3 linked regions of the Astyanax mexicanus genome follow. The protein of the gene in region 3 purifies or fractionates together with the protein of the main gene of each other region. This does not show direct contact. Links are inferred from orthologs where the notes say so. Each region holds a gene or a part of one and is shown on either strand. Other genes may lie near its edges.

Region 1 (7,396 bases), on a different chromosome or scaffold from region 3:
CTTTTTGCTCAGCAGTGGTTTTCGTCTAGGAACACTGCCATGCAGACCATTTTTGCCCAGACTCTTTTTTACAGTGGAGTCATGAACGCTTACCTTAAGTGAGGCAAATAATGCCTGCAGTTCTTTGGATGTTGTTGTGGGGTCCTTTGTTACCTCTTAGACGAGTCATCAGTCAAAGGGAAGGTCACAGTGTTACAGTGCTAAATGATCAACTCACAGCAGATTATTTTATAATATTTTATTCTACCTTTTAAATCAACTCCAACAACCCACAGAATGGGCTCAGCACTGTTAATAAAACACATCACGTCTCAGTTACTTCCGGGCTGACCCATCTAAGAAAACCATTTGCTTGCTTCCCCCTGCTACCCACCAGCACTTGCAATAATACTTTACTCAGAACATGAACATAAATTAGCAGAAGCAATATTAAACAGCAAAACCGAGAAATTAGTTCATGATATTACTTTTAAAAAGCAGTAATTTAATAAAGGTTTGTTAAATACAGACATTAGCTACTTTCACTTCTGGAAGAGCTGGAACAAACAAAGAATAAACAGCCTGATCTTCAGGGCTGTATAGATCATCAAACCCACAGAGAAAATTACACATATCTATAATAATAAAAGATCAGTGCCATCATCCTCAGAAAAAAGCAGAAGTGCCTCTGGATTATGTGGACAACTGGACATAACCCAAAAGATGTCATATACTTATAAAAGGGGAGCTTAATCAATTCAATTCGTTTTAAAAAGTAGTTCAAATAGGTTTTGCAAAAGTGAGACGCTGTTACAGTCACTGTGAAAATGTCACAGATATGTGCAATATTTCTGTGAAGTGTGAGAACAATTATATAGACCACATTTTCATGCCATTTATTACCACCAGTTGTGGGGGAAAATGCAACTAGAAAATGAATCCCTAACTGTAGACAAAAAAAGCACACTATAAGAATTACAGTATGACTCTTCTTAACTTTACATTGTTATCATGTTATATATGTGTGTTATTTAAACAGATGGCACTTTACAAGCGTGTGTGTAGTCCGTTAACTTGTAACGGCACCTCGCTACTAGACATTAACAGGTTCCCGTTGGTTGTTCTGCCGTTTCACTACAAAGACTTTCTGTCCAGAAATCGTCACTGCATAAATATAGTCCTCGAACATCACTGTGGACAAAAAATACAAAGAGTGTGATATTACAACATTATTATTTGTGTAAAACCAGTCATTAACTATGCATTGAATCAACTAATGATTTGAAACAGGATAACTTTAAGCAGGTTGCTCTGTGGTTTGGGCAGGTTTTGGACAGACCTTATCATTCAATGTTTTTATTATTTTGTTTTTCCCTACGTTGTCATTCAGACTATGAAGGAACACAGAAGGAATCATGTAGTAAACTTAAAAGTGTTAAACAAACCAAAATATTGTGTGAATCGTTTAGATGGGTGCTGTTAACTTGCAATTTCTTGCAGTGCAACAGAGGTAACTTTTGGTCTTCCCTTCCTGGGGTGGTTCTGATGAGAGCCAGTTTCATCATAATTTTTTCGATGGTCTTTGCAACTGCACTTGAGGATACTTTCAAATTTCTTGGAATTTTTCAGATTTAGTTCAAGTATTCAACATAAAGTATTTTTATCTTTACTTAGTTGAGTATTTCTTGCCATAATATGGAAGAACTATATGGCTATTCACTTTAAACATCTGATACTCTCAAACACATTAAGAGGCAAGAAATTCATGTAATTAACTCTTGACACGTTCAGCACAGCTGTTAACTGAAAGCCATTCCAGGTGATTCTACCTCATAAAGCTGACTGACAAAATCCAGCCAAGATGTGCAAAGCAAGAGCAAGAGTGACTCTGAGGAATCTAAAATATAAAACATATTTTGGTTTATTTAACACTTTTTACTAAATAATTCCAAGTTTTTCTTCATAGTTAAATTTAGTATTAATCTACAAGGCAGATAATTTTATCCTGATAAAAAATACACTAAATTTAATGTGTGTCCAAACCTTTGACTTTCAAACCTTTGCATATACAGATGAGGCTCAAAGATGACCAACAAACTTTGCAGCACCAAAGAGCTTCTCTCTCTAACTTTACATCTACACGGTGAAGCAGCTAGGTAGAATTGTTTAATAGAGTGAACATAGAGTGTCATACCAGCGAAACACACACTAACACACCATCACCATCAGTGTGATGCTGAGAATGATAATCTGATCATTGAAGAACAGTGTGAAAGGAGGCCGACACAATATGCAGAGAAACAGATGAAAAACACAAGCCATTAAACTAAGCTGAACTGCTTGAATTTTGAAGTGGTCTTTGAGAATCTGAACCCTGGTATACAGAGATTTATGGTCATTCAAAATCTCTAACCTGACATGCGCTTGAAAGGTGGCTCTGCTGCTCCATGAAGCCTGAAGCGACAAGCTGTTCGGACCATCTGCATGATAACCCCTGCGGTGTGCTCATCGTTCTCCAGCTCTCCTGAAGACTGAGAGGGAAAAAAGCACAGAAAAAGCCTCCTGTGAACTCTCAATTTAATGCTTATGTTCTTCAGCTCTGTTAAATTTGCTACAAGTGAAAAAAAGTCATTTTTTTGTGTACATATAGTAATGAGTAACACTTACTGCAAGTACACCATCCTCACTGATCACCAAATATCCTATCTGATCAGGTATTCTCTCCAGACCCTGAGTCAGTGCTGTGGTCTTCAGTGGAGAGAGGGAGAGGGAGAGGAAGAGAGAGAGACAGAGAGAGAGAGAGAGAGAGAGAGAGAGAGAGAGAGAGAGAGAGAGAGAGAGAGAGAGAAAATAGGACCAGCTTTATAACATTAAAACAACTTCAATCTCCAGAAGACAAACAGTGAATAAAGACACTATGTGTAACTACTGGATGTGATGTGTTGTTTAGGGGCTGTTTCAGGAGCAGCAGAGAAGAGTGAAAGAAAACTACAGAACTACAGTTATTAACAAAACACACACAGCTGACAGCTGACTACACACCCCGGAGAGCTTCTACCAACAGAACACACATCAGAGAGTCTCTATTAAAGAAAAATCTACTATTTAAAAGAGAAAATAAAGCAAATTCACACACCATGGTCGGTCCTCCCCTCAGGTCAGATCAGGAACAGATACAAACGATTATTATTTTCCGTCTTGTGTCTCTCACGTGACGCTGGAGGCTTCTTCTGTAGTGGTGAGTCACATGGTGTGTGAACACATCGCCGCCTACTGACATAAAATCATCTCCTACTACTACTTTGTGAAGTATCTTCAGTTTTTTTGTTCTACGTGCAATCAACTCGAAATAAAATAAAATAAATCAACTAAAATAAAATAATAAACTAAACTAAACTAAAACAATAATAATAATATAATATAATATAATAATAATAATAGTAATAAACTATAGTAAAATAAACTAGTAAAAAAAACAAAACAAGCAAAACCAAATAAGAAAATAAACAAAAATAAGAAAGAAAATAAGAAAGAAAATAATTAACTTAACTAAACTAATATAAAATAAGAAAACAACAATATAGTAAGAAAAAAATAATAATAAATAAAGAAAATAAAAGGAAAAACTAACTAACTAAATAAAAATAAATATAAATAAATGAAAAAAATAAACTAAAATAAACAAAATAAAAATAAATAAACAAGCAAAGCTTAATAAGAAAATAGATAAAAACAAAAAATAAATAAAGAACACTAAAATAAAAAACAAAATATAAAAAAAATAAAATAAAATCTAAATTCTATTTATAAAGCACATTTTACAACAACAAACTCTGACCAAAGTGCTGTCCAGTAATAAATAAGTTAATGAACACATATATATGTATATACATGTATATAAACATATATTTGTAATCATCTATTTATTTGGTGGGTGTCCCTTATTTTCATTTCTGATAGGTGGCGACCCTTACTACGGAAGAACACTTATTATATTTTCATTATGTATGTTCAAGTAATCATACTGTAAGAAATTTAATGAATGGGACGGCAAATGTATGAAAATTGCCTATTTGGTTGTATATAGATCAGAATTTGGTCCTATAAAACAAGAAAATCAAAGAGTTATCATATCAGACCACTAAATTAATAAAGATCCCATTCTCATGTTATAATAGCTAATGTGATATTACTATAGCATTCTGGAATAATGGGACGTTAAACCTAGAAAAAAAATGCCCATTTGGTTTTGCATAAACCAGATTTGGAGTTCTATAAAACCAGCTAATCAAACTGTTATTAAAAGATACCATTACATTCTCAAAGAAGCCTTTCTATTCTACTAATGACATAAGTATCAAGTATTACTGTAGCATTGTGGAGTAATGAGAGCTCAAACTAAGGAAAAAAAAGTGGGTTGGGGCACCACAAAGAATTTTGCCTAGGGAGCCTGGATGGCTAGCCCTGGCCCTGGGTCTGTGCATTCTGGAGTAATGCCCTGAGTAGTATCTGGCAGCAGCAGTGCTGGTGGTGTTGAGTCTGATCTGAGATCAGTCAGCTATTTTAGCTCTGCTGTGGAAGGTAAAGCGGAAGTGCTGGTCAGCTGACTGCAGCATATGATCCAGGGTGAAGACAGCAGCAGGAGTAGGCGGATAGATTTCTGTCTGTTATTTGCTGATATTTCTTCTCACCGCCGCGATCCGCCATGGCTGGACGGGGTAAGCTGATCGCAGTGATCGGGGATGAGGACACCTGCACGGGCTTCCTGCTGGGGGGGATCGGAGAGCTCAACAAGAACCGTAAACCCAATTTCTTGGTGGTGGAGAAGGACACCAGTATCACAGAGATAGAGGAGACCTTCAAGTAAGACCTTATTTTCCTCCTCCTGAGCTTCACCAGCGCCGCGCTCTGTTTCAGTCTTATCTCACCGTCCTCAGTCTGAAATGTTTATAGAGGAACTGATTTAAGCGTCGATCGTTTCCCCACTTTAGCCGTATTAGCTATGCCAACTAGCATGCTAAGCTAGCTTTATAGGCGCAGCTAAGAGCAGTAGCTAAAGGGTGCTAAACCTGCTTTAATTTACTGTTACTTGTGGGTTCGACCCATGTGTCTTTAGTTTAGTGTAACATATAGATATTTAATTAACTATTGAACGGTTAAAGAACAAATAAACTAGCAATATAAAGGCAGCTAGCCTAGCTAAACTAAAATAATCTGGGTTAGCTATTAACCTGTATGTCAGTATCCATATATACAGAGTATAGCAGTATTGTGAAGAGAGGGCTCTATAAATAAACTGGAAGTGCTTATTTAAGCATAACGTTGACATAGGTTGTCGATAAGTTAAAATGTTTTGTCAAAACCATTGTGTGTATATATATATATATATATATATATATATATATATATATATATATATATATATATATATCAATCCCCTGACCTAAACCCAACTGAGATGGGTGCAAATTATCCAATACTAAGTATCTTTTTTTTAAAGAAAGAATGTGTGCCCTTGCATTCAATAACTACTGTGACCCCTCTGAGCAGCTACAACTTCAAACATTTCTGGCAGCCCATTTGGTGTATAATTCTGCACAATAATCTGGGGAAATTTTTGGCTATTCCTCCTTACAAAACAACTTGAACTGAGTGATGTCTTGAACAGACTTCCTCTTTCCTATTCTGCCATGTACAAAGTATTTGCTTAGTGTTTGCCTGATGGAATCATGACATTTCTCAACGTGGTCTTTTCATTTTAATGGAGAGAGCTGCAGCCTGCCACAGTGCACTGTGTTGCACCAAAAGCAGCTTCATTGTATTTCTAAAAGCGTTCTGTAGATGTTAACCACAGCAGTGTAAATAAACATGCTGGACAGTGTAACACAATTAAAGATGATGTCCATTCACCCTATTGGTTCCCTGCATAATGTTATATAAGATATTTGTTGTAGATCAAAATCTGGTTTACAAGTATCATTTATTTTGTTTATTTATTGAAACAGGAGTTTCCTGGCTCGCAGTGACATTGGCATCATCCTCATCAACCAGTTCATTGCAGAGATGATCCGCCATGCCATCGATGCCCATATGCAGTCCATTCCCGCTGTGTTGGAAATCCCGTCAAAAGAGCACCCATACGACGCTTCCAAGGACTCCATCCTGCGCAGGGCCAAGGGCATGTTCTCTGCAGAAGATTTCCGATAAGAAAAAGAACTGAAAGAATTAAGACCTAGACATGGCAGGAGATGGGAGAGGAATAGCGCTAGATGAAGAGCAGCTGATATTTGATGGATTTCTCTCCCATATCTTGCCTGAGTTGGTTTAAATACAGAATACTTCTGTAAGTGTTAATGTGTATGTTATTTAGTGTCTTTGTCTGTTATGTTGGATAAAGTGAAATGGGGTAAGTGTGTACCAGTGATCGAACACCTAACTGGATTGTGTAACTTGTGATTCTGTGATTCCAAATATTTTTTCAGTCACATTTAAATTATAAATGGTATATGTAAATTATAAAATGATATAATCTATAAATCTGTAAGTTTATTTATTTAGACTGAGCTGTCAAACATTCCATTTTACTTACAGCAACTTCCATTTAGGAGTGTATAATCAAATTATGAACAAATATTAATATTTATACAATTATTAATCAAATATTATACATATTATTATATACATATATTAGGTGACCTGATGATAATACATCCTGCTTTGTTTTGTTTTTGTATTTGATTAATCCTTCAATATTACTTCATGTCCATACATATGTGCGTTAACTTATTTGTTAATAACTGCAAGAGAGAGTCTCATGTTCATTAAAGAGCATATGTCAAATCTGGTTTCATTGTGACAGTTTTTTCTTTTCTCACCAGAAATTTGTGCATTATTTTGATTTCTTCCTAGGCCCTAAAATAGATTGGATGGATAACTTTAATACTTTCGGATACATTTCGAAAGGAACTGATGCAATCATTGGAGAAAGGAAAAAAATAGCTTGTTCACGAATAAGAAACAAAATGGTCTGCATTGTGGTGCAAAATATGGTGTAAAAATATTCTAGATCTTTTCAAGACATAACAATGAGATGTAGTTGGATCAGGTTGCTTCTCTTCAGTAAAGCAAAACCCCCGGCAATACCACATAATACATTCATACCAGTGCCACACACAAAATTAACACTACTATTTTAGTGTCATTCCTGTATGGAAATGAACACAACACAACACTTACCTGTCCTATCTATGCATTGTATGTGAGCACCAGTATGGAGACTGACAAAGCTCTTGCTGTGATTGACAGTGATATGCATGTATCTAGAAGTTCATCTCTGTATGCTCTTCTTTCATCACTGATGATATTGCTTCTTTGATGCACTTTGCTGCACCAAGTAAAGAGGAGCCTAACTTTACCT
Region 2 (7,748 bases), on a different chromosome or scaffold from region 3:
GCCGCACTTGCTCTTCGATAAACTTGGCGCTGCGCTCTTCATCGTCCAGATCCTGCTTCTTCTTCTTCTCCAGCTCCTCCTGTCTGCGAATGGTCTCCGGGTCCCGGTCGATGTACTGAATATACCAGCCTTTCGGGGTCTCGTCCACTTTACAAAACCCTACATATGCACATGTGTCAGACAATAGATAACGTATTACCTTCAGGGTCTTGTTGATGCTCCTCTGACTCTAGTGAGGAGAAGAATGGTGTCTTTGTAATTCTCACTCTAAGCCGAAATGCTTTGTACATTCTATTTTTTGTACATTCGATAATTATGGTATTTCACCATGTATAGCACCACTGTCAATCTAAACTATAAGTCAGAAAGACAGAAAAAGTAGTCAATTACAAAAAGCAAGTTTGGCGTTAAACATTTACTCTGAAGTTATAAGTTATTCTGTATATTTTTTTCAGCCCCAGCTGCTTTTTTGAACAGGGCACAATTAGAACAGAGGTCATTTACACACACTGACTAGGGATGCACAGTAATGTCGGAGATATATTGTATTGGTCGATTAATGCTTTTTGTAGAATCATCTGCATCAGCCGATATGGCCAATATTTAAAATCAATTCTAGTTAACGTATTTAATGTATGCCCCAAAAAGCAGGACCAACTGGATAACAGTGGCTGTGATAGTTTTAAAAAGCTATTTTTTATTTATTTTTTATTACTTTTATAGGTATACCAAGATGTCTAGTCTCTCTGTAAGTGATACATATGTATAAATGGATGGGACATATCATTTCTTAAGTTGTGCAGGGGTTTAACATTCCTCCATGTAAAGTGTCACATATGTACCCGCAATTGTTTCATTAAATGCATAACTCAAACATGTTTGTATATTTCTGTGCTTACCTTCTCTCCCCAACCATTTGGTGAAATCTGTAAGGGTCTCCCACTGAGTGGAGTTCATGTGAACGTGTTCCCGGTGACTAATGTACTCATTATATACAATGTTGTTGTGGACTCTCTTCGTCCCTGTAAACACACAAAAACACAGACCCTGTTTAACAGACAGGTATTACTGAGAGTAAATAACAGCATACTGATCATTTAACCATCATTTAATACGCTGATCATCACATGAAACCATGCCTCACCAAAACGTCTTCTCAGCAGCTCCAGAAAGTCACTCTTAAACTCCCTGTACAGAAAATTAAAACAGGTTATCAACTTCAGTCACAGATTATTAACGTAAGTAGTGTTGTATTAATGACTGGTGACTAGGGGTGTCACGATCTCGATATTTTATCGAAATCGAATCTAAATGAGGTCACGATCTCGAGTATCGAAGTCAAAAAGAGGATCGACGATCCCTCCTGCGCGCGCTACGCAAATAGCGCAGCGCGCTACGCAAATGGCGCGGCACCAACACAGCGCATCCTATTCATTTAAATAGAGAGCCGCTGCATGAGCGCAGTCGGCGGGAGTGTGATCACTGTTTTTATCTGTCCAACGGGGGAGGGGGGGCGGGGGTTGGGCGCGCAGGTTTTGTATCTGTATCTAACGGAGGGGTGGGTGCGCGCAGGTGAGAGCGTGTGAACTCGCTGAAATGCGTGTGTCAGTGTGACTTGAGAACACTGACTATAGATCACAGTGAGGTGGATTAAAAATCTTAAACTTATAATTGACTACACCTGTTGCTTTCCATTGAATTAAAAAAACATCTTTCTCTCAGATAAAGTAAACACAAGCGTGTTTCTGACTAAAATAAAAGCTTTTCAGGAGAGATATAAGTTATGTGTAAATATTTATAAGACAATACCTGACAAAATCTGTTTTAATGACGTTAATAAACATCACTTATCTAACCAGCCTGTACTGATTTCTGCCCCCCAATAATGCTTTCAATAACCTCTAATAGCCTTTAATAGTCTTCAGTAGCCTTTAAAAGACTTACCTGGCGGCCGTGGTGTGTCCACTAAACTCCGTAGTTATAAACATCCTGAGGTTAGCAGCGCGCTAACTGACCTGTTTATAATGTAATCCGAGCAGTGACTCCGTGTCGACTGTTCTAACCTGCTGCTGTTAGCTGCTTGGGCTGAAAGATGAACTGTAGTGAGCTGTATTATCCGGTTAGTGGGGTTAAAACCTTTATTTGTTTACAGAAACAGTAAAAACGGACTGGCTGAGCTCTGTAGCCCGTGGCTGGGCTGTACTGAAGTAGTGACTGAGTGAAGAGAGCGGGGTGCTGCTGCTGCTAGTGGTTGGATGAAGAACTGCAGCTTCATGTAATGAGCAGTTTCACCAGCCATCCACACACAGCTCTGATAAACTGCTTGTTTTAATAGTGCACACTGTTGCTACCAAAAAAAGTCACTAGATGGCATTACCATATATATCTTAATAAATAATAATAATAATAATAATATTTATAATATTTATAATAATAATAATAATAAATATATTATTTAAATTTTATGAGGCATAAAATAATAACAAGAAAAAAAAAACAAGAAAATCGAGAATCGAATCGAATCGTGACCCTCAAATCGAAAATGAAATCGAATCGAGGATTTAGAGAATCGTGACACCCCTACTGGTGACCTTCAGAAACAGGGGGACTCACTCTGAGAAGTAGCTCATGAACTGGTTGGGATCCTCAGAGGCGAGCAGCAGCTGTCTCTGGTGGGACTCGGACATGCAGTGGCATTTAAATCCATTCTAATTGAGAAAGACAGAGCATCAACATCACTGTTCTAAGCATTGGACGGTATACTATGGCACAATTCTAATTCCTACCCCTTTGTTTGAGTGGAACACTTCCCCTTGGAACAGAGTTTAAATAAGAATCCTCCCACTAAAAATTAAGACAACCCTTCAAGATCCAGATACAGATATACAGTGTTGGAGCTCTACATTTTAATAACCTAGCTGCTGGTTAATTAGCTAATTTTAGAGCATTGTATCTCTTCAAAAAACACTATAAAATACTAAGTACCGTAAGATTATCTTTAAATGCGGTGATGTAATATTTTTGCAGTATCGCTCAGTTCTATCAGTGTGTGATTACCTACACCAAGGGCAATGGCTTTTACATCAATATAGAAAATTATATAATTTTATGATGAAGACATATATCATTACATAAATTTTGGTCTGGGTTGAATTTAATCTCTAGCCCAGCACAGAGCATTCTACTCTAGCTAAAAGGGTCTAAACCCCAAGTATGTAGAGCAGTGGAACTGTGTTCTCTGAAAAGATGGAGCTCCATCCAATACTTTTGAATAAGATTAGTTGGGAAGCTGGGGAAATATTACAGTAATATTTTCTGAATCTAGAAAAAGTCTTTCCTAAATATAAAGACAGTGACTCCAACAAAAGCAGCGTAAATTATGTTTTAATACCCTTTACTTAAAAAAAACTATGAGTAAGTGTGTCACAACAGCTTTGTGTATATTTTACACTAATATGACTCAGTAACGTAAATAACGTTTGTTAGCTAGTTAGCTAGCTTAGAATTTATATATGAGAGTTTGTCAATATCACGATACTCAGACACTCATCACGTATCAAAGTGTATAAACTACAACCAAAGAAAACAGAAAACCGTACAGAAACTAAAATAAAAATAACACTAATATACCTAAGCTAACTAACAGCTACTTAATAAAGGAAAACTGTAGTTAACTCACTTCATCTCGACACTGTTTCTGGCACATCTGACAGTACCAGCGCAGCTTCTGCAGCCCTTTAGCTTTAATTCGGTTCCCTATCGCTTTAGGGCTCAGGAAATCCGCCTTTCCCATGTTCAACCCTGACTACACACCTATAAACAAAGCGTTAATTTACTATTAAACTAAACTAGTTAACAGTTCCAGAGCCCCGTTCCTGCGTTTCTGTTCTGTTCTTCTGCCTCGCCGCTTCGTGTTTGTGTGTGTATGCGCTCTACGTCATCACTTCGTGTGTATCTGTAATAGCTAGAGAACAGAATGAATCACTCCATTGAATCGGTTCCTTTCAATTAGTCAAACCTTTTCAATTTTTTTACCCAAACTGTGAAGCTTTAGTAAAGATTTCTGTTGTTTACGACTAAATTATGGACTGAAGACTTTTAATACGGTGAGTACTCTTAATAAGTATTTTTTCCTTCAGTCTGATGTTTTAATTTAATTTAATAAAATATAACGTAATTTTCTCCATTGCGCATCAAAAACAGCACATAGCTTCATTCGACGAAAAGGGGGATTTTATATAATCCTACACATTAAATGTATATACAGTAAATAAATATTCATTTCAAATCATAATAAAAAACATCATTATAAATGTACAGAAAACGTCACCTAAAAAATCATAATCTAAATTAGGAAACTTAATTAGAAATGTAGTTTTGCAAATGTAATGTACCTGTATGTTTTCAGCAGATATAAGTAGGTTTTAAGCCTGATTTAAAAAAATAAGCTTTAAATAATATTAAATGTGTGTAAAATAACAAATAATCAAATATATATTTTTTTAATGGTTGATATGAATTTCCCCACAGATTGACTTTTTAAAATAATTATTAAATATTCATAAATGTAATCCACAGTAGTATACCATTTTGATTTTTTTTATTAAACGTTTAATATATTATTAAAGTGAGTCGATTCAAACGTGAATCTACCGTTTTTGAATAAGAACCTGAATCACCTGAAGAATCGGTTCAGTAAACTGAGTCGAACGTCAGCCGGATTCGACATTTTGTAGGCGCTGTACGCATGCGCAGTGCGGCCAGTCTGACCTTCATTGGAAGTGAACATGTTCTGCAGGGCCAGCGCGGTGGTGTTCCTCCCACAATGGTAAAGCCTTTAAAACTCTTCATTTTTACATTTTCTGATTAATGACATTGTGTAAAGCAGTATTACTGTGCAGTGAAGGTGTTCAGGGCCCGGTTCTGTCTGTTATTCGGGTCAGAAGCTCGCAAGGACGAGCCGGTCCCGGTAGGCCTCAGTAGCTTAACGTCAACGGCTGGATTAAGCCTGAGAGTGTGAACTTCACCAGTCTGAGTATTATAATCAATATTAACCCTCTGCATTTATCCACTGCCCTATATTACCCAAAATATAATAAAATAATTAACACACGGGTTTACATAGTTAAATAGCTGTGTAAATTGTAGTTGGGTTTAGCAGTTTGACCTGTTTGTATTAGAGCTACACATGCTTGATGACTGCTTCATATCATCTAGTATTAGGGCCTAAATATATAGATAGTTTAAGTGTAAAATGTAAGTGATGCTGGTCCCTATAAGAAAACTGAAGCTGTTTAATATAACTGATTGAATCCTCTCCTTGTTGCAGTGGGCAGGTCAGGAACATGGCTACCTTGAAGGACAGTAAGTAAACTAAAGCATTTATATTTATACATACAGAGATTTTCATTAAACATATAATTATCTATTTTAGTTTGGGATGCAATGATGTGGGAATTCTGTACAGATGCATATATCTGATATACACACTGATATGTCTGATACACACAGACTACACATCAGTATAGCTTTTATGACTTTATATCTAAATACTACAAATTAGTTGTTTGTGCTGCTGTTAAAGTGTTTTAAACTGTACAATTTTAAGTAGAAAAAATAGCTGAGGGATAATTGACTTAAAAGCTCCTTGTGATGAACCTCAGTCAGTTGATGTACTGTATGTATTTGTATGTAAGGACTTTTTTTTAAAGCTGCATATTTATTTACCTAAAAATTACAAAGCATTTATAGAAGATGCAAAATACTTATTTTTATTGCAGTAAAATAACTTATTTACATTCTGAAAATTTGAGGCCTTTAAAATCCAACTGGACACTTGAGCTACCTGTTCATGCTCTACTCCACTAAATAATTCCAGGTCAGTGACAGGAATCAAACCCAAATTATGCATGTCTGAAAATGTAAGGAATGTTTTGGAGGAGATGAACAGTTTCATTTATATTCAGGAAAATATTGATTTTAAAATGAAGTTTAGGAATAAAACAATTTTAAGATTTTATTCGTTATATTTTGACATATTTAAGTAAATATTTTTTAAATATTTTCTATTACAATTACAATTCTGCTTTTCAGTAATGTTCCTTATAAAACATTAAAGCTTTTTTTGTAATGTTAGAATAGAAATCCTCAAGATTTAGAGGTGTAATGTCAGGCAGACAGTTGACAAAAATCTTGGCATATTAGGTGATATAAATATTAACCTTTAGTAACGTGTTTTTTTTGTATTTTGTATTTTGATCAAAAGTTTACTTAGTTAGTTTCAAATAAAATAAAATAGTCCAAATAAAATGAAATGCTGGTTTTACATTTTAATACGATTTGCCATGAGACTTTTATTGTGAAACCCAAACTGGCAGGTTAGCCATAATGCTAACTGATTTCTGAATTGAATTAATAGCTATTGTTTGATAACAGATGGATAGCACTGTGCTGTTTAGATTAGTAGGATCTGTGGTTTAATAAAAAAGTGGATTATGGCTATATTTCACTCCGTTCTTTAGTTATTGACCACAGAATGCTGGAATGCTAGTTTACAGCTAACTTTAGCAGTAAGGACTGGAGCATGTTAGCCTGCATGCTAACTGTTTTCTGAGATTAATGAATGGCTATTTTGTGCTGTCCTTAAGATGTAACTTTGCTGGCTAGTAGCTACATATGGACGGTTCTACTGTTTGATATGACATGTATGATGTCTGTACTGTATTACTCTGGTCTTCAGTTATGAAGTTCAGAACTCCTAGCAGAGCTGTTCTGTTTGCCCCCAGTGAACATCACTGTAGCCATAGTGCCATAGTAGCCACAGTGTTTGGTCCTTTTCCAGCATACAATTCATGCTTTAGCGAGGACCAGGTTGGAAATAATGGGAGGAAAAAAGCATTTATCAGCAATTACTGATATAATTCCGATATCATTGTGCATCTAATGTTATTCAGTTTAATTGTGTTGATTTGCTTGCATGTAACATCTGTTTTATGGCATATTGACTGACTGGGGGTATGACCCGGTGATGCGTTTTTGTTCATTTCTTTTCTGTTTTGATCTTTAGTCACCATTCGGTTGAAGTCCGTCAAGAACATCCAGAAGATCACCAAGTCCATGAAGATGGTGGCCGCCGCCAAGTATGCTAGGGCTGAGAGGGCCTTGAAGCCAGCTCGTGTCTATGGCACTGGTGCTCTCTGTAAGTTTCCTTGAATAGATTTAGCCTGTTAATTGCAAAATATCTCATTGCTATAACATCAGACTATAATCCACCAATGAGACCTGCTGACAAATCACAAATGTGCAGAATGAGTTTCCCAAACTCAAATAATCTTGACAGTATGGTGCTTTATCGCTGCCATGCTGTGATGCCACAACATTGATACAACAAGTTTTGTTCATAAAGAATGATTTAATTGTATTGTCATTATGTTAAAAATATCTCTGGCGGGGGGGGGAAACAGGCCTATTTAGATATATACAGCAGCTCAGCTTTCATTAGCTCATATTGTGATTTCATTCATACTGTGATGTTATTGTGATTTATTGTCACTGTAATATTTGTACTGTGTGTGTTGCAGCGCTGTATGAGAAGGCTGACATAAAGGCTACAGATGATAAGAACAAGCACTTGCTCATTGGCGTGTCGTCTGATCGTGGGCTGTGCGGTGCCATCCACAGCAGCGTGGCTAAAGCCATGAAGAATGAAATCGCCAAGCTCTCCGGTGCTGGCAAAGAGGTGATGGTGG
Region 3 (7,748 bases):
TACTTCCAGCACATCTTTGTAGAACTTGTCGTTGTAGCTGACAGGGAAGATTACTTGGTTCAGACGTTTCAGCTGTTTAATGTTGTGGGGGGTAACGTCCCCCAGCTCGATCCGGCTACTGGAACAAGAGCAGAACGGTCAACTGGTTGTTCATTACTTATTAGAATACATTTCGCTACACACTTTAAATAAGCAGTATGCCACTGTGCACAACCGCAAGACTTCATTTCAAGTTATTCTGAGCCCTCTCACAGACTCAGGCTTATTTCAATGGAATCAAACTAACCCAATTAGCTGTCTACGAGGATTTGACCCCACTGTCCCAGCACACTGTCACGACTATCAGTCGTAGTGTTCACCACAAGTTTGCGTCGCCTGCACTTGACACCAGAACTACAGAGGTATTTATAGGGCGACTGCATGCTAATGCACCATGACGACATAACAGCTGCATGTCATGTTTTTAGGCCTGCACTCCCACAGCCAGTGGTAGGAAAAGGTAAGAGAGGACAGCAAAAAGTTCACAATTTTTTTTAAGCATGTTGTATGCAAACAGCTTAACTTCTCAATTTGGTGTTTTTGTGTCAAAAAAACTAAATACACATGCATATACTGTACACACATACTTCCTCTCTTCTGGCAGCAGCATGGACTGTTTTTTAAATGAAGCACAACCAGTTAAATCACAGGTTATATGCATATAAGTCTTAAAGGCAGAATAACAAAACAGTGTTTATTTCTTAAGAGGCAAGCTATAAAAAGTATCCATTGTTTTGGCAAACCAACTTGCAAAAAACATTATAATGCATACTATGTATTTTGTATGTATTTTTTGCAATATCGCCCAGACTTATTTGCATGTCACCTCTTACAGTGCCAAAAGTGCCATTGTATTTTGCATGTATTTAAATCCTCCTCTTTTAGTCTTATAGACTAAGACATTAATATAAAATATGTAATTTTAACACTACACAAAAATGTGACACTAATTTTAACACAAAAAAAAGGAATTAGCTTAACTCAACTCGGGTTCTGTTTATACTTGTACTGTCATTCCCTCTTTAATCACACCCCCCTCACTATTGCACTATTGTCTTGTGTCTTTTGTCTCACGTATGTCTATCTGTGTCCTTGTTGTATTGTACATATAGTGTCTCCCATTCTTTAATATTTATAATCTTATTTTCTGTACTTTCTTGTAATCTTTTTGGGAAGGAGAGTAATGTAATTTCCTGTACACACGCAGTATTGACAATAAAACTACTTGACTTGAACTCAACTTGTATACATACATAATATTTCACTAGCTCAGCACAAAGTGACTAAAGGGACACTGACTGACAGAAAGAGCATCAGCACCAGATAGACATGGATTGAGCAGTGAAAGGGACATTCTGTGGGAACTGAGGTGACGTTAAATGCTGAATAAATAAAAAAAAAATACTGAGGTATCAGGCTTAAGAGTTCACAGGTGACACTAATCAGTAGGTAAACTAACTACATCACTAGACTGGACTCTGGTTCTGGAAGTAACGTAGCTAGCTTAGCTAGCTATGATAGCTAAACAACGTTTACCTGTGTATTTAACTTTGTCGACTGATTGTTGACTTAAAAAATCACTCCCGTCACTGTCTGTCATGTACTAGTGAACTGAATAACTAATATAACCTACAGCAATGCTCGTTAGCTTAGTTAGCTAGTTAACTAACTTGCTGCAAGCAGGTGGGGAATTTAGCTAGCCAACATATCTAGCTAAGCTAAGCTACGTTACCTAGCTACCACCTTTATTCACAAACTGTTTAGAACACAAATGGTTTATCTCAATGCTTGCTAGTTAACTAAACGTTCGGTTAGTGAAATATAAATACACATAATACTTATAAAGTTGGCTAGCTGAAGTAGTTGGTTACTTTGTCAGCTAAGAATGGGCAGACACATTTATTAGCTACTGTGGAGCAGGCATGGTTAGCTAGCGAATTAGCTAGCTATCTAGCTTAGCTTAGCTTAGCATGATAGCCAGCGATATAGCTTTTCATAGTCTGACTCAACATTTTCAGACTTCAGCTCAGGCTAAGCTAATAGACATCACACGGGGTTTTGCGGCGGTTTGGTGTATCTGCTGGGACCGTGGTTCGTGTAACAGCGGGTGGACTTTATTTGTACAGAGCACGTTTCAGTCTGTAAGGTTTTCTCAGTAAAATATTCAGGGTCCTCGGTGGTGAACGCTCCCCTCTCACCCCGCGCCGAGAGGCGGCTAGCGCGGCCAGCAGCTCCCCCTCCCCCTGCTGAAAGAAGAGAGGAGGAGGAGGGAAAAAACTTTTAGTCTCCATGAACAAACGCAGAGTTTTTACTCACCCTTTCATGTTGGAGAGAACACGTATAAGGTGAACGCTGCGAAGGACGTCGACAGTATATTTCCGATCCGGAGAAGATTAGTCCTAAGTTTGTGCAGAGCTACCCTCTCTCCGGACCCTCCACATGTATGTTGGCTAAAGGACTAGCAGCGCTCAACTCCGCCGCTGCTGTCACTCGTGAACGAGTCGCTTCTTCTGAGTCGGTTCTTTTGAGAAGATCAGTCGAATCGGTTCAAAAGTACCCCGCTGAATCTCGTGTTTGGCAGCTATTCGAGTTTTCTGCAACTGATGACTATTTTCGTTATTAACTGCTGTCCATACACTACACGACTGAAAAGACTCTGAAAAGACTTTTTAACAGAATGAAGTCTGACATCCTCTCACATTAATTGTTTAAAGATAAGTTTTCTGATTTGTCAGTCATTATTTCTGTTTCTATCTTTCTCTATGGCTTCAAATAGCTGAATGAGGGAAGACATTTAAAAATGGGAAATGTTCTGATATTCACTGAGAAAATAAACTAGTGTCATTCAGTTTAAAATGTGAAACTCATATTATATAGATGTAAAACACACAGTGTGCTCTATTTTACATCCAATAAAAACCCAAACATCATTGTCTCAGAAAATTAGAATATTATATTAGACCAAATGGTACTTTTGGCAGTGTAAAATCCACATCTCCATAAAAGTTGTCAGCAGGGCATGAAAACACTGCACCGACTTCAACACCAGCAGATGACATGACTCTCCAAACCATCACTGATTGTGGAAACGTTACACAAGACCTCAAGCAGCTTGACTGTGTGTCTCTCCACTCTTCCTCCAGACTCTAGTTCCTTGATTTCCAAATGAAATGCAAAATTTACTGAGGGTCAGTGATGGTTTGGAGGGACATGTCATCTGCTGGTGTTGGTCCACTGTGTTATATCAAGTCCAAAGTCAAAGGTAGTGTTTTCCCAGAAAATCTTACAGCACTTCATGCTTCCCTTTGCTGACAACATTTATGGAGATGCGGATTTCATTTTCTAGTAGGACTTGGCACACTGCCCACACTGCCAAAAGTACCAATTGGTCTTATATAATATTGTATTTTTCTGAGACAGTGATTTTTGGGTTTTCATTGGCTGTAAGCCATAATTATTGACAATAAAAAAATAAATGCATAAAATAGATCATTCTGTGTGTATTACATCTATATACGAATTTCACATTTTGAACTAAATTACTGAAATGGAGTAACTTTTCAATTACATTTAATTTTTTAGAGATGCACTATTATACTCGGTTGTGTCTGTCAATATCTTTTATTTCATGTCATAAGGAGTTTATTAAAAAATAGCCTGACACCGTTCTTTTTACTGAGCTGTTTTATGTTTTCTTCTGTTAAACGTACAAAAACATACATATCTTAACACACGTGACAAAACTTACTTTAAATAGTTTAGTTATCAAGAGAGACCAGATCTAACAGTAATAAAAGTTGGTATAACTTGGTTTCTGCTGTGTGGAGGACATTAGAATAAAGTTGGCATGACTCATAAATCAATGAATCGCTGACTCGGACGTTTGATGCATTGAAACAAAACGTTCAGCTCAAAGAACCGGTTCGATTCACTGAATCGAACTTCACATCCTGCACAAGCGGCGGGGAGACATAAAGCACAGGACGTGGCGTACATTATGGAAGCTTTCAGTATACAAAATAAAAGTCCCTGACAGGTAAGGTGAAATCAGAGCCATCTCTATGGCTCAGTGACACCTCTGGGTGAAATGCGGGTCGGATAGAAAAGTTAGTTCTTTTTTTTATATATTTAAAATAAGTTACTTAAAATACCTTAGCATAGGTTTCCGAAGAAAATACTTATAATAACGCTATCTAACAAATTCGATATTTAGCAACAATTAATTTAAGTGTGCAATGTTGTAAGTTACCTGATACCTATTTTACAAAATGTAAACGTTATTGAACTTAATCTTTTAAAATTAGTATAAACATTACAGTAAATTTGTATAGTTTTACATGCTTCTTTATTACTGCAAAAAATAAAAAATAAAATCCAGCTCAAGATCATCCAGAAAAAACATACCCTATGCTGGTAAAGAGCTAGTTAATTTTAAGAAAAATGAAACGGTTAATCTTCTTTTGATCTTTCAGATTTGTCATTTCTTGTATCTTGTAACACAAACCTGATAGTAAAGAAATTCCGATTGTGAGGGGCAAAGGTGAAAAAAATCTAAAAAGGGAAAAATGGATGAAGGCTTATTTCTGCACAACATTAAAAAAAGACAAATAATGAGTTTTACATACAATTATCCATTTTTGCATTTAGCCTCAAACACGTCGTTATACTGACCGTATAGCAGTAGGTGGCGCAGTGAAGCTCCATCTCTGAGCACCGCGCACTACAACCATCGAGTGAATGAAGTCAGCTGACCCTTCCTGGTTGCTGATTTCTCATCATTATTTTCAGCTGAACGGACTCGACAGATCGCTGCTTCTCCTCATCATTTCAGGTATTTAGTGATTGTAGTTTGATGTCAGGGTTATTTTATTCCTCGCTGTGTTTTGATTCGGTCGGTTTAAGGCGGCCTCGGCTGCAGGTAGCCAGCCTGCTACGTTCAGTGCTTTTTCTCGGTCGTATTCCATTGACGTTAACTGCGGTCAAAATGCTTTAAATGAACTATGGTAGCTTTTGCGGGAATTGGCTTAATTTCTCTATTTACAGATTTAACACGGAATGGTAGTTGGTTAAAATGGCTGAAATTTGTGTGTGACTGAAATTAGCTGCTTAATCGCCTGGTTCTTGTTGGAAATTTCCGTTCCACCTTAAATAGGGCATTAGATAAGTACACGATCCTGAAGCATGTTGATGGAACCAATGCAGTATTTAAGGTGGAACGGCGGTGGTCGAATATGAAACTGGCGATTTTTTTGCACCTCCCCCATTATAACCTTGGGAAACTACAAGCTCGCCCCAGGATTGTATACATACACGATGCAGTCTCTGATTAATATTAATTAATTTATCATTTTTATTATACACATATGTAGTAGGTAATGCGCTTAACGTTACACTACGTTTAAGTCATCTCGTTAAATGTAAAGCAGGAGGAAATTCCATCACACCAGTTTTACATGTTATTAATTATTGTAACATATTTAAAATTGACATGTTTAAAAAGTATCTATATTGCGCTGTATTGATGTCATTTATTTGTAAGATAGAATCGCAGTAAATGTTATCAGTAGCCTGTCATGGTCATGTGACTGGACAGTGCTGAGACTTGCAGTCACTGTGCTTGGGCCCAAATACTAGACTGCAGCATTCTGCCAGCTATAGCACTGCTCAAATATGCTGTTTCTTTATGTTTTGACTGGCAAAGCTTATAACGAGGTAACCAATACACACACGATCAGGTTTCTGTCTGGAGATCATGTTGCTTTACCAGGAGAGAATCCGTCCATACCCTACATCATGTGTTGGTTGATCACATGGTAGGATGGTGGGTGGTAATGCCAGAAATATTAAGATACTTTAAGAAATGCATGATGATATTTAACTTTCTGTGTTTTTTTTTTCTGAACAAGTACCACAAAGCAGTAACAGCACATTAAAAAAAGCTGAAAACAAGCCATTGGTTAAAAATATATTGAATTAAATGAGTGTCATAATTGGATGTCAAATCAGCAGTTTTTGCAGTTGTTACCATTTGTTTGTTGTTCTTTAAAGGCTTGATCTTAATCTGTCTTTTTACGATTAATTTATTCATTTAGACGTACATATCACACTCCAAATATAGCTTAGCAAAATCTGTCATGGTCTAATTTATCATGTTGCACTTAACATATATCACCCATTCTTAATGACAAATTAGCCTGATTTTTGTTGGCTTGATTAAATTTAAAAGCGCATATATTGAAAAAAATGAGACATCTTACATTAGAATTTGTTGCATGAGAGGGTCTTTTAGTTTTTTTGTAACGATTTGCACATGTAGTTTTAGTGGTTGTTTTTTCATATATTGTATTTTATATGAAACATTAGAAAACTACTGAGAACTAAAACTGCTTGGTTTGGTTGTTTCCCTACAGCTATTAATGCTAATCTTGGGGATGAGTGCAAACTCTCCAGAATTACTCAACTGTCTGTTTAGCCCCTTCCTCTTTACAGCCAGTCACGGTAATCATCATGTGACATTTCTGTATCACTGCCCCAGAAATATCACACAATCTGGTGCATATATAACTGTTCATATAAACTAAGAGGATTTTTGTATTAATAAACTTTACTTAAATATTGAACAAGCCTTAAGGTGTGTGTGCATGAATAAATGAATAAATATATAAAATAAACTCTCATTATCAAGTTTAATTACTATATTCAATAGTTTGTGCTTTTTAGTACAAATTATGCTCTGACATCTTTGATTATTGATCATTAATAATTAGGTAGGTCTACTTCTGTGATGAAAGAATTTAGTGTAAAGTTAGACTTTCTGTAACTGTCCATCCAGCTTTAAAAGTCACAAGTTAACCCACAATAGGAGAAATCAAACAAATGGAGAACAGAAACCCTCTAATGCTTCACAGGAATATTTTTGTTTCTTTTTGCATAAAGCTTGAGGACATTCTCAGTTTAAAAGCTGACAATTAAAAGCTTTAATTTTTGCTTATGCTATAATCTGATGTAATCTAATACCTCTATAATTGTCAGTAATCTGTTGTATTTCACTAATGGTGCCCACCTTCACATTCTGTCTGCATTTTAGACACACACTTCTAAGATGGACTTCTCCAAGCTGCCCAAGATTCGAGATGAGGAGCGGGAGGGACAGTTTGGATATGTGCACGGAGTGTCCGGACCTGGTCAGTAATCTGTCTATAGTGTGGAATGACAGTAATGTTTTTTTCTTTTTTTTTTCCAATTTACTCAATGCTTTATTTGTCAGTCAGATTGATTAAGTGTGCGCTGCTGTCGCAAAAATATGGATTGATGTGTCCTGTATGTGTTATGCAAAAATGTAATAGCAATATTTTTGGCCCTTTTAGTTTAATTTTTAGCCGGGCCATATTTAATCACTGTATTTCTGAATAACACATTTTAACATTCTAATCATTTTCAGTACTATTTATCTTACTTTTAGTGTCAGCTAAATGACTAAGTAAGATCTTTTCTTTATTTATTTTGTTACATTTCTGGTAATTAAATTAGAATTATATCTATGTATAACCAGTATGGTTTTAAATTATTGACATAATTGTTCCTGAATTTTGCAGTTTGTGCATTTTAAAGTTGTTGTACTGCTTTGCTCTATAGGTCATAGTACATGATTTGCTACATGTAAGTGACCTGTATCTGTGTGTGTCCCTCACAGTGGTGACGGCCTCCAG

What was found.
Region 1: the proteins of atp6v1ab (region 3) and atp6v1f fractionate together in Homo sapiens (co-fractionation; 3 studies listed by BioGRID and IntAct, with this or other methods). This does not show direct contact. The link is inferred for Astyanax mexicanus from reciprocal best matches to the Homo sapiens genes ATP6V1A and ATP6V1F.
Region 2: the proteins of atp6v1ab (region 3) and atp5f1c fractionate together in Homo sapiens (co-fractionation; 3 studies listed by BioGRID). This does not show direct contact. The link is inferred for Astyanax mexicanus from reciprocal best matches to the Homo sapiens genes ATP6V1A and ATP5F1C.

Annotation. Positions count from the first base shown.
Region 1 is NC_064409.1:35,732,019-35,739,414, reverse strand, and holds atp6v1f (V-type proton ATPase subunit F), read left to right. Parts: upstream 1-4,577; 5' UTR 4,578-4,684; coding exon 4,685-4,842; intron 4,843-5,984; coding exon 5,985-6,186; 3' UTR 6,187-6,823; downstream 6,824-7,396. Other genes in the region: ragulator complex protein LAMTOR4, read right to left, coding at 1,073-1,170, 2,393-2,510, 2,647-2,727, 3,116-3,118. UniProt on the Homo sapiens protein: Subunit of the V1 complex of vacuolar(H+)-ATPase (V-ATPase), a multisubunit enzyme composed of a peripheral complex (V1) that hydrolyzes ATP and a membrane integral complex (V0) that translocates protons.
Region 2 is NC_064409.1:21,088,437-21,096,184, forward strand, and holds the start of atp5f1c (ATP synthase subunit gamma, mitochondrial), read left to right. Parts: upstream 1-4,717; 5' UTR 4,718-4,787; coding exon 4,788-4,828; intron 4,829-5,329; coding exon 5,330-5,364; intron 5,365-7,066; coding exon 7,067-7,198; intron 7,199-7,580; coding exon 7,581-7,748. Other genes in the region: kin (DNA/RNA-binding protein KIN17), read right to left, coding at 1-159, 900-1,022, 1,145-1,188, 2,614-2,708, 3,680-3,793.
Region 3 is NC_064408.1:95,984,562-95,992,309, reverse strand, and holds the start of atp6v1ab (V-type proton ATPase catalytic subunit A), read left to right. Parts: upstream 1-4,743; 5' UTR 4,744-4,870; intron 4,871-7,126; 5' UTR 7,127-7,141; coding exon 7,142-7,223; intron 7,224-7,732; coding exon 7,733-7,748. Other genes in the region: naa50 (N-alpha-acetyltransferase 50), read right to left, coding at 1-118, 2,356-2,363. UniProt on the Homo sapiens protein: Catalytic subunit of the V1 complex of vacuolar(H+)-ATPase (V-ATPase), a multisubunit enzyme composed of a peripheral complex (V1) that hydrolyzes ATP and a membrane integral complex (V0) that translocates protons.